Solanum lycopersicum: one gene and its partner. The protein of the gene in region 1 interacts with the protein of each later gene in a pairwise test. Links are inferred from orthologs where the notes say so. Each region holds a gene or a part of one and is shown on either strand. Other genes may lie near its edges.

Region 1 (3,456 bases):
TCAGAACTTTCACATAATTCGAGTCTCGATTTCACAGTCCCTTTGCCCCTTACCTTTAATTGTAAGAAAAAAAAGGGTTTAAGTATGATAACGCTCAACCAACCATAACCATAGAGAATTTATTAAACACTGTTAATTCTAAATTGGAAAAGAATGTGGTTTCTGACATTTAGCTAAGATTGGAGACAAAAGTTAAAAGTGGTGGGAAAAATAAATAAATATGGTCAAAGTAGAGCAGTATATAACCCAAAAGTACTTACTGTGTGTGTAGGTGACAATATATTATTAATGCTTAGCCAAGTTGCTTGTTTGTTTTCTTCTCTTCCTATCCCATTCCCTTTGGCCCATCATGTCAAAAATCTTAATCTTCTGCTACCTTCTTTTGTAGGCCCCTTAATACAAATTTGTCTATGTGAGATGAACCAAACCAAAGTTGCTGAAGTTGAACTGGAATCTTCCCATCTATTCTTCCCTTTTGACAATTTTTGTCCCCACCTAGGGGATGTTCTGTTTGTAGCATAGAGTTATGCATGTATTAAAATAATTATTACCAATGTTGAGAATCGCCTTTGTTAGAGAGCGTTGTTGAACGAGGATGATAGTAGAGGAGATCTTGTATGTCTACATTTGATAAACAATGGATTACAGGAAATGGAGAATAGATTATATTAAAGGGGAAGAGAGTGACAAAATTATGGCCTCCTTGTTGTTTTGAACACAGCTAATAGCCAATGTATATAATACATACAACCACTCCCTAAACCCCCTGTGCCTCCCAAATTCTTTTATTTCCCTCCCTCTAGAATACAAAAATACTTTATAACACCGATGTCCAGAAGGCACCTTTTCCCCTCATCGATCTCTACAAGTTACAGGAGATGTCGACTTGTCACAAGGGTTAACCCGACCTAATCTACTGGAGTCGGTATTACTACTACTATGACTACTAACTACTTTTCTACAATGTTTAGTTGGGTTGGGACAGAGAGGTGGTGTCCTTCCGCGGGTTTCTGGAACGCCAGTATAACTGTTACGATCATGTAACCCTGTCCAAAAACCCTGACCATCCCCAGCTGTTTCTGGGTTGCCGCTGCAGCTGGTCTCTTCACGAGCAGAAGCATAACGGTCCAAATCAGCAAGGGGTGAATGCCTTGAGTACAGAGGGGAAGGAGAAGATGAGGATGAGGATGTGTCAGAATCAGATGAACTCCTCCAGAGGCTATTCCAACAGACCCCAGAGTCGCCAAATATATCAATATTTAAGTCATCTGTGCTCGTTGAATCCCTGTTAGTGCTGTCTGTACTGCAAGAACCAAGCTCAGAGAAGAAAGATGATTGTTCACTCGAAGAGTCCTCCTCAAATATAGACCTAATAGGCCTCACACTTGTATGACTAGGATAAGAACATCCGTTGCAGGTTTTACTAGTTGAATCGCCATGTGAAGAGTCCCATGGACTTCTTGTATGGGATCTTGATTTACAAGTCAGTTGCTTTGATCTCCTTGGATCACGAGGAATTGTCAGACTCCTCATTATCCTCGGGGCCCGTGGCGAGCACCTAAAAAAGGAAAAAAGAAAATGTCAGCTACAATCGAATGCATACCTCAACTAGAAGGAGATGCGTCTATAATTTTACCTTGAATAAAGAAGCATGTACGCTCCCTTCGACAAGACTCTTTCTAGTTCCACAGATTTAACCTACAAATATGACAAAGACCACATCAAAACCTCAAAAAGACCATGGAAGAAACATCATGTTGTGTGCTATGCATGAAGCAGAATCGAGAGGAAATGGAGTATCACAGTCTCATCATCACAGAACACATTAACGCACATCAAGAGCACTTTTAGTAGTTCTAAGCCGAAAGGAACAACCACTTTGTGACAACAAATGCCTAATTTCTCATAAGCTTACCAATACCCAAAGCCCAGAAGTGAAGGGAGAAAAGTATACAATCAATGGATGAAATTCAGAAAGATAAAATGAGGTGTAAAATAAGTTTTAAAATGTGAATTATAAGTAAAAGTTCTTTAGGAGACATACCGAACTATCATCAACTTTATACCACTTGTTCTGAAAGTTCCTCACGTAACACACATAGTGACCAGAAAATGCAGCATTCATTACGTCCAGGTGAACCACAACTCCATACAGCTGATAAACTGGTGACTTATCACTTGTCCCACTCATATATGGTGCCAGGTTCAAAAACTCAGGGAATTTGATTGTCTTGTTTAGCTTCCCAAATTTACCTGACTGCAAAACTACAGACAGTGAGCAATTGCAAACAAAATGCAGATACGAGGAAGTATTTCCTTCAATCAATATCAAAAACTGAAGGAGACAACACTTCATTCAAAACAGTACCTGAAATCTCTTCAATGCAACTGTGAGGACATTAGGAGCCTCCACCACTTTTAACTTTTTCTTAGCCTTCTCATACGATTTACATCTGAAAGATGCAGCAAAAGTTTAGTCCAAAAATGAGCTGCAAAAATGGCATGCATGCAGAAGAGTCGAACAATCTGCTCATAACCAAACAAACTACAAATGCACAGAAATTTCATACTGTTTGTGCCACTACTGAAGATTCTAGAAGTGAAGATGTACAATGCAATTGGTATAATCATTTTTCTCTAGATCGAGAGAGATGAGAAGGATTTGGGCATAGCATCGTATTTTCCAAGATGGATAAAAACAAAGAAACAAATCAATGAAATTTTAATCAACCCAGTTTAACTCAAAGGAATGACACTACCATTAGACACCGAATCGAAACATTAATGCACACAAAGTATCTAGACACACTAATAAAAGAAAAGTGAGAGATGACCCAAATGAAATATAAAGGAAAAAAATTCAGAGGATAACATAAAAACACATCAAAATAACTAAGTATGGGACAATTGGATCGAACCTGCCACATCGGTACTTGTTTTCACCATCTAGAGTCTCAGTATGAGTAAATTGTTTCAAAGCTTCTTCCAAGGTGCCTATATCTCCGTCTATTTCAACAGTAAGATCCATTATTCTTTCTTGCCTCTCAGATTTGCCCCCACACCTCATGCACTCAATCTTCCAGTTGAATTTTTCAGAAATCAGTACAGAAGTTTTTTCAAGAAATATTAAGCTTACATTTAACAACTATTAGAAGTCAATAGTTACCTTTGAACGGAGATAGCCCCCAAATGTAAGCCCAATGAGACTCGTTTCTTCTTCAAAAGAGCCAGGTGCAGTAACCCCAGCTCCCTTCAAGCAAATGGATTGCATTGTGTCGATAACATACCTGTTGAGTTAGGAAAACAGACATAAACAACTAACTCAGAAGTTCAACAGATACTTGCACATCTACAGCCTCCACAGATTCAGAAAATATACCTAAGAAATTCATGAGCGTCTTCTTCTCTACCATTACCAAGATTGCTCCCGATGCTTTCGAGATGGGAAATTATACT
Region 2 (3,838 bases), on another chromosome or scaffold:
GGAATACACCTATTTTCTCGTTCGCCTTTTCCTATCTCGCTTGCCTCTTTCTTCTCTCGCTCTGTTCTCTAAGTATCAATATTTCAGAGTGCATTTGATAGCAAAAATACAAGTATTTCAGTTATCTGACTTGAAATCTGGTATGCATTTATTAATTAGTGAGACTATATGTAACTATTTTAAATTATAGGTAGAATTAATAAATATGACAGAAATGTTTAAATAATTAGGTTGTTTTTTTCGTAAAAAATGAATAAATTACAGAAATCACATATTTTGAAGACAAAATTACAATCTATCACTTAAAAGCTTATAATTACAGAAATCCCTCAAACAGATATAATAATATAAGCGTTGAATGCTTATACATTAAAAAGAGGATAGAATATATAAAAGGGAGGGTCTGATACACTAATGGAGAGTCAGATACGCCATGTACATTAATGAAAAAAAATCAGAGCGCAGATACATTAAAAAGAGGGTCGGATACATGCGTTGATACATTAAAAAGAGGGTTAGATACATTAATGAAATTTTTGACTTAAAGAGAAATTTAAGAGATTTCGATAATTTATAAAACTTATAGAAAATAATGATAATAAGTAAACTAAAAGGTGGGATTTGGTCCGAAAAGTGGCTAGTCCATACATGGAAAAGAAATAAAAAGTCAGGCCCAAGTTTGCCTCTTAGACCAGTAAGCCCATGTAAGTTTATAACGGGGCGGGACAAGTAAGTACAAAAAAGCCCAAATAATTCCAGATGAAAAAGAGGGTCTTATCAGTCTCCCTTTCAAAACCTCCGTCGTCGTGCGACGATCGGACCCACGGATTGTCACCGGCGGGAGTACAGTGACCCAAGAAAAGATTAAATTTTCGATAATGAAGGTTTCCCCAAATTCCGTAACCCTAAATCTTGGAGAGCCGCTTTTTGTGGTCAAGAAACTTGTAAGTTGGATAGGGCTTTTATGGCTCCTATTGCAGAATACGATCGCTAAGTAACAATATTTTCCACGGGAGATATGCCCCACAAACAATCGAATTACTGGTCCAATTTTACACTTCAGTGAACAAAAATGATATTATTTTTAAGAATATTATAGTATGCTAGTATCGCTAAGTTTGAATTGATTGTGTAATGAGTAACAATAATGTGCTAGATTAAGATTTTAAATAATGTGGTTTGCAGTTAATGGAGTAACTTTTAACATGAGTAAAAAAGAAATGGATATGGAATGTGAGTAAGGTGGCGCCATAACGACCATAAAATTTATCCAAATTTCTACCACCACCCAAACATCATCCTCCAATCCAGACAAAAAAAAAAATTCACTACAACTCTTTGAAATTGTGTGTTAGCTGGTGCAAAAGGCGGACAGCTGCAATGGCTATGGCAATAGCTCTTCGGAGGCTTTCTGCTACAATTGACAAGCCAGTTAAGAGTCTTTACAATGGAGGCTCTATCTATTACATGGTTTGTATTTATAACTTGTTTATTTATTATTTATAGTAGTACTATGTATTACTTTTCCTTTTAAGTTATATTTACTTTGCGTTGTTTGTTGCAGTCATCACTGCCTAATGAAGCTGTATACGACAAGGAAAAATCCGGAGTAGCTGTAAGTTCATGATGAATTGGAATAGATGTGTTATCTGAACTTTTGCTTGTGTTCTTTTCATTTCTGAGTTGAAATCCTGAATACTTTCAGTGGCCAAAGCAACTGAATGCTCCACTAGAGGTTGTTGATCCTGAGATTGCTGACATTATTGAGCATGAGAAAGCACGCCAATGGAAGGTTCTATCGCCTTCTCTTTTCTTTTTCTTTCCATCTCTCACTCACTGAAGCTTACCGCAAAGGAATTAAGGCTCAGACTGTAGCAAATTAGAACATTTAACTAGTAATACTTGGGAACCTGTGCCAAACATTGATGTTTCAGTTTCAATAAACAAGTCTATATGAAACCTTGCATGCTTTCTCGGCGCACGAGGCTTATCTAGTGTGGTTTACTTTCTGCTGTGATTTACGGGCTATTACACTGGAGCATGGTTTACCCTATGTGCATCCAAAGTGTAGTGGTTGTGGGTTCCCTTGTCATAAAAAAAATAAAGAAGCCTATATGAAATATCTTTTAGATATATTTAGTATCGGTGATGTCCATGTGAGTTTGCCCACACCTCAATTATTCCACCAAATATTGGCTACCTAGGGTCGGTACAGCTAACAGGGGATATTCTGCCCCCAAAGGCTTAGATAGATGGGGAAAAATTACCTGGTGTTGTTTGTGTCGGCTGGGATTTGGCTCCGGGTATGCCATTGTTTTGACTCCCTTTATTGTCCTCCAGACTACACCTTTGAGTAAAACTGCCTTTCAGATTACTTCATGGGGAGTTCCAACTTCCAACTGCTGAAATTAATTTAACTTATCAATCTCCTGTTAAGAGCATTGAATGCTAAGAATTATATAGTATGTCTCATTTCTTTTACTCTTCTTATCACGTATAGCATCCATTCTGCTAGTTATCTTTCTTTTGTTTAAGATGCGAAGAAGCAGTTAGCTATGGAAGTTAAATGTCTTACCTAAGTTCAAAATGCTTTCTTTAGGGGCTCGAACTCATTCCATCAGAAAATTTCACTTCCGTTTCGGTGATGCAAGCAGTTGGATCAGTCATGACTAACAAGTACAGTGAAGGATATCCTGGTGCCAGATACTATGGAGGAAATGAGTACGCACAATATTTGCTATTTTTTAACTCTTAAGACTTTTGTCATTAACCTGTATTTTCATGTCATATATCAACTTCAGATTTTATTTTAACATTATGAAGAATGGGTGGCTGTCCAGGTACATAGACATGGCAGAAACCTTATGCCAGAAACGTGCTTTGGAAGCATTCAGGTTGGATCCTGCAAAATGGGGAGGTAATAAATTTTGTTCTATTATGTTTCATCGTCTAAATAGTGCTAGAAACTAAAAGTACTCATCTCAATTAACCTTTTCTTATTGCAGTGAATGTGCAGCCTCTATCAGGATCACCCGCTAATTTTCATGTTTACACTGCATTATTAAAACCTCATGAGAGAATCATGGCTCTTGATCTTCCTCATGGTGGACATCTTTCTCATGGATATCAGGTGCTTCTATATTTTGTTGTTTCTCGTCGTATATGACTGGTTTCTGTTGTTGCAAACTAATACCATTACTTAAAAAAGTGTGGGCACTTAAGAAGCTTGCACTAGTATTTGTGGTGTAAATACTGTAATCCTTCTAGGGTCCTTTGTAATAGGCAATTAATGTTTTCTGGGCTTCTATGAGGTGCATTTACTACTTATGTTCCTCTGCCTTACCATTCTCGTGGATGAGGAATTTCACTCGGACAAAGGCCAACATCCCATAAATTTTATCTGATATGTGAGTAAAGGACAATTTAAACTGAAATGCTGTTAAATATGGCTGTATGCAATTTCTGTCAGGTTGTTTTATATATTGCATTGATCTTTGATAGTTAAAATGTTCTGTATGCTTTTCCGCTTTAGAAGAGCAAACTTTTCTGCTTTAAAATCACGCATGATCTTAAAAATGGAAGTTATTGCTGGTAAAATTTGAGAAAAATGAAGTTAAAACACATGTGAGTTGATGCATATATGAGTCCATGTCCCAATTATGTTCATACATTCCATACAGATCTGGAGTTAGAGTCAGCTTATTTTTGGAAAACCTTGATTTCTTCTTTCTAGTGCAATTATTGTTTGATTTAATTTTAGTTACATTAATACAGCATGTCTTATGTTTATTAATCACAGACTGATACAAAGAAGATATCTGCAGTCTCTATATTCTTT

Evidence for each region.
Region 2: the proteins of ubiquitin carboxyl-terminal hydrolase 16 (region 1) and serine hydroxymethyltransferase, mitochondrial interact in binary tests that used the Arabidopsis thaliana proteins (3 or more experiments, as listed by UniProt). The link is inferred for Solanum lycopersicum from reciprocal best matches to the Arabidopsis thaliana genes UBP16 and SHM1.

What each region holds. Positions count from the first base shown.
Region 1 is NC_090803.1:62,984,575-62,988,030, reverse strand, and holds the end of ubiquitin carboxyl-terminal hydrolase 16, read right to left. Parts: coding exon 3,380-3,456; intron 3,288-3,379; coding exon 3,167-3,287; intron 3,077-3,166; coding exon 2,919-3,076; intron 2,454-2,918; coding exon 2,369-2,453; intron 2,258-2,368; coding exon 2,045-2,257; intron 1,699-2,044; coding exon 1,637-1,698; intron 1,559-1,636; coding exon 853-1,558; 3' UTR 643-852; downstream 1-642. UniProt on the Arabidopsis thaliana protein: Recognizes and hydrolyzes the peptide bond at the C-terminal Gly of ubiquitin. Involved in the processing of poly-ubiquitin precursors as well as that of ubiquitinated proteins.
Region 2 is NC_090801.1:69,138,457-69,142,294, forward strand, and holds the start of serine hydroxymethyltransferase, mitochondrial, read left to right. Parts: upstream 1-764; 5' UTR 765-1,380; coding exon 1,381-1,470; intron 1,471-1,564; coding exon 1,565-1,615; intron 1,616-1,705; coding exon 1,706-1,792; intron 1,793-2,599; coding exon 2,600-2,721; intron 2,722-2,840; coding exon 2,841-2,917; intron 2,918-3,005; coding exon 3,006-3,130; intron 3,131-3,799; coding exon 3,800-3,838. UniProt on the Arabidopsis thaliana protein: Functions in the photorespiratory pathway in catalyzing the interconversion of serine and glycine. Involved in controlling cell damage caused by abiotic stress, such as high light and salt and the hypersensitive defense response of plants.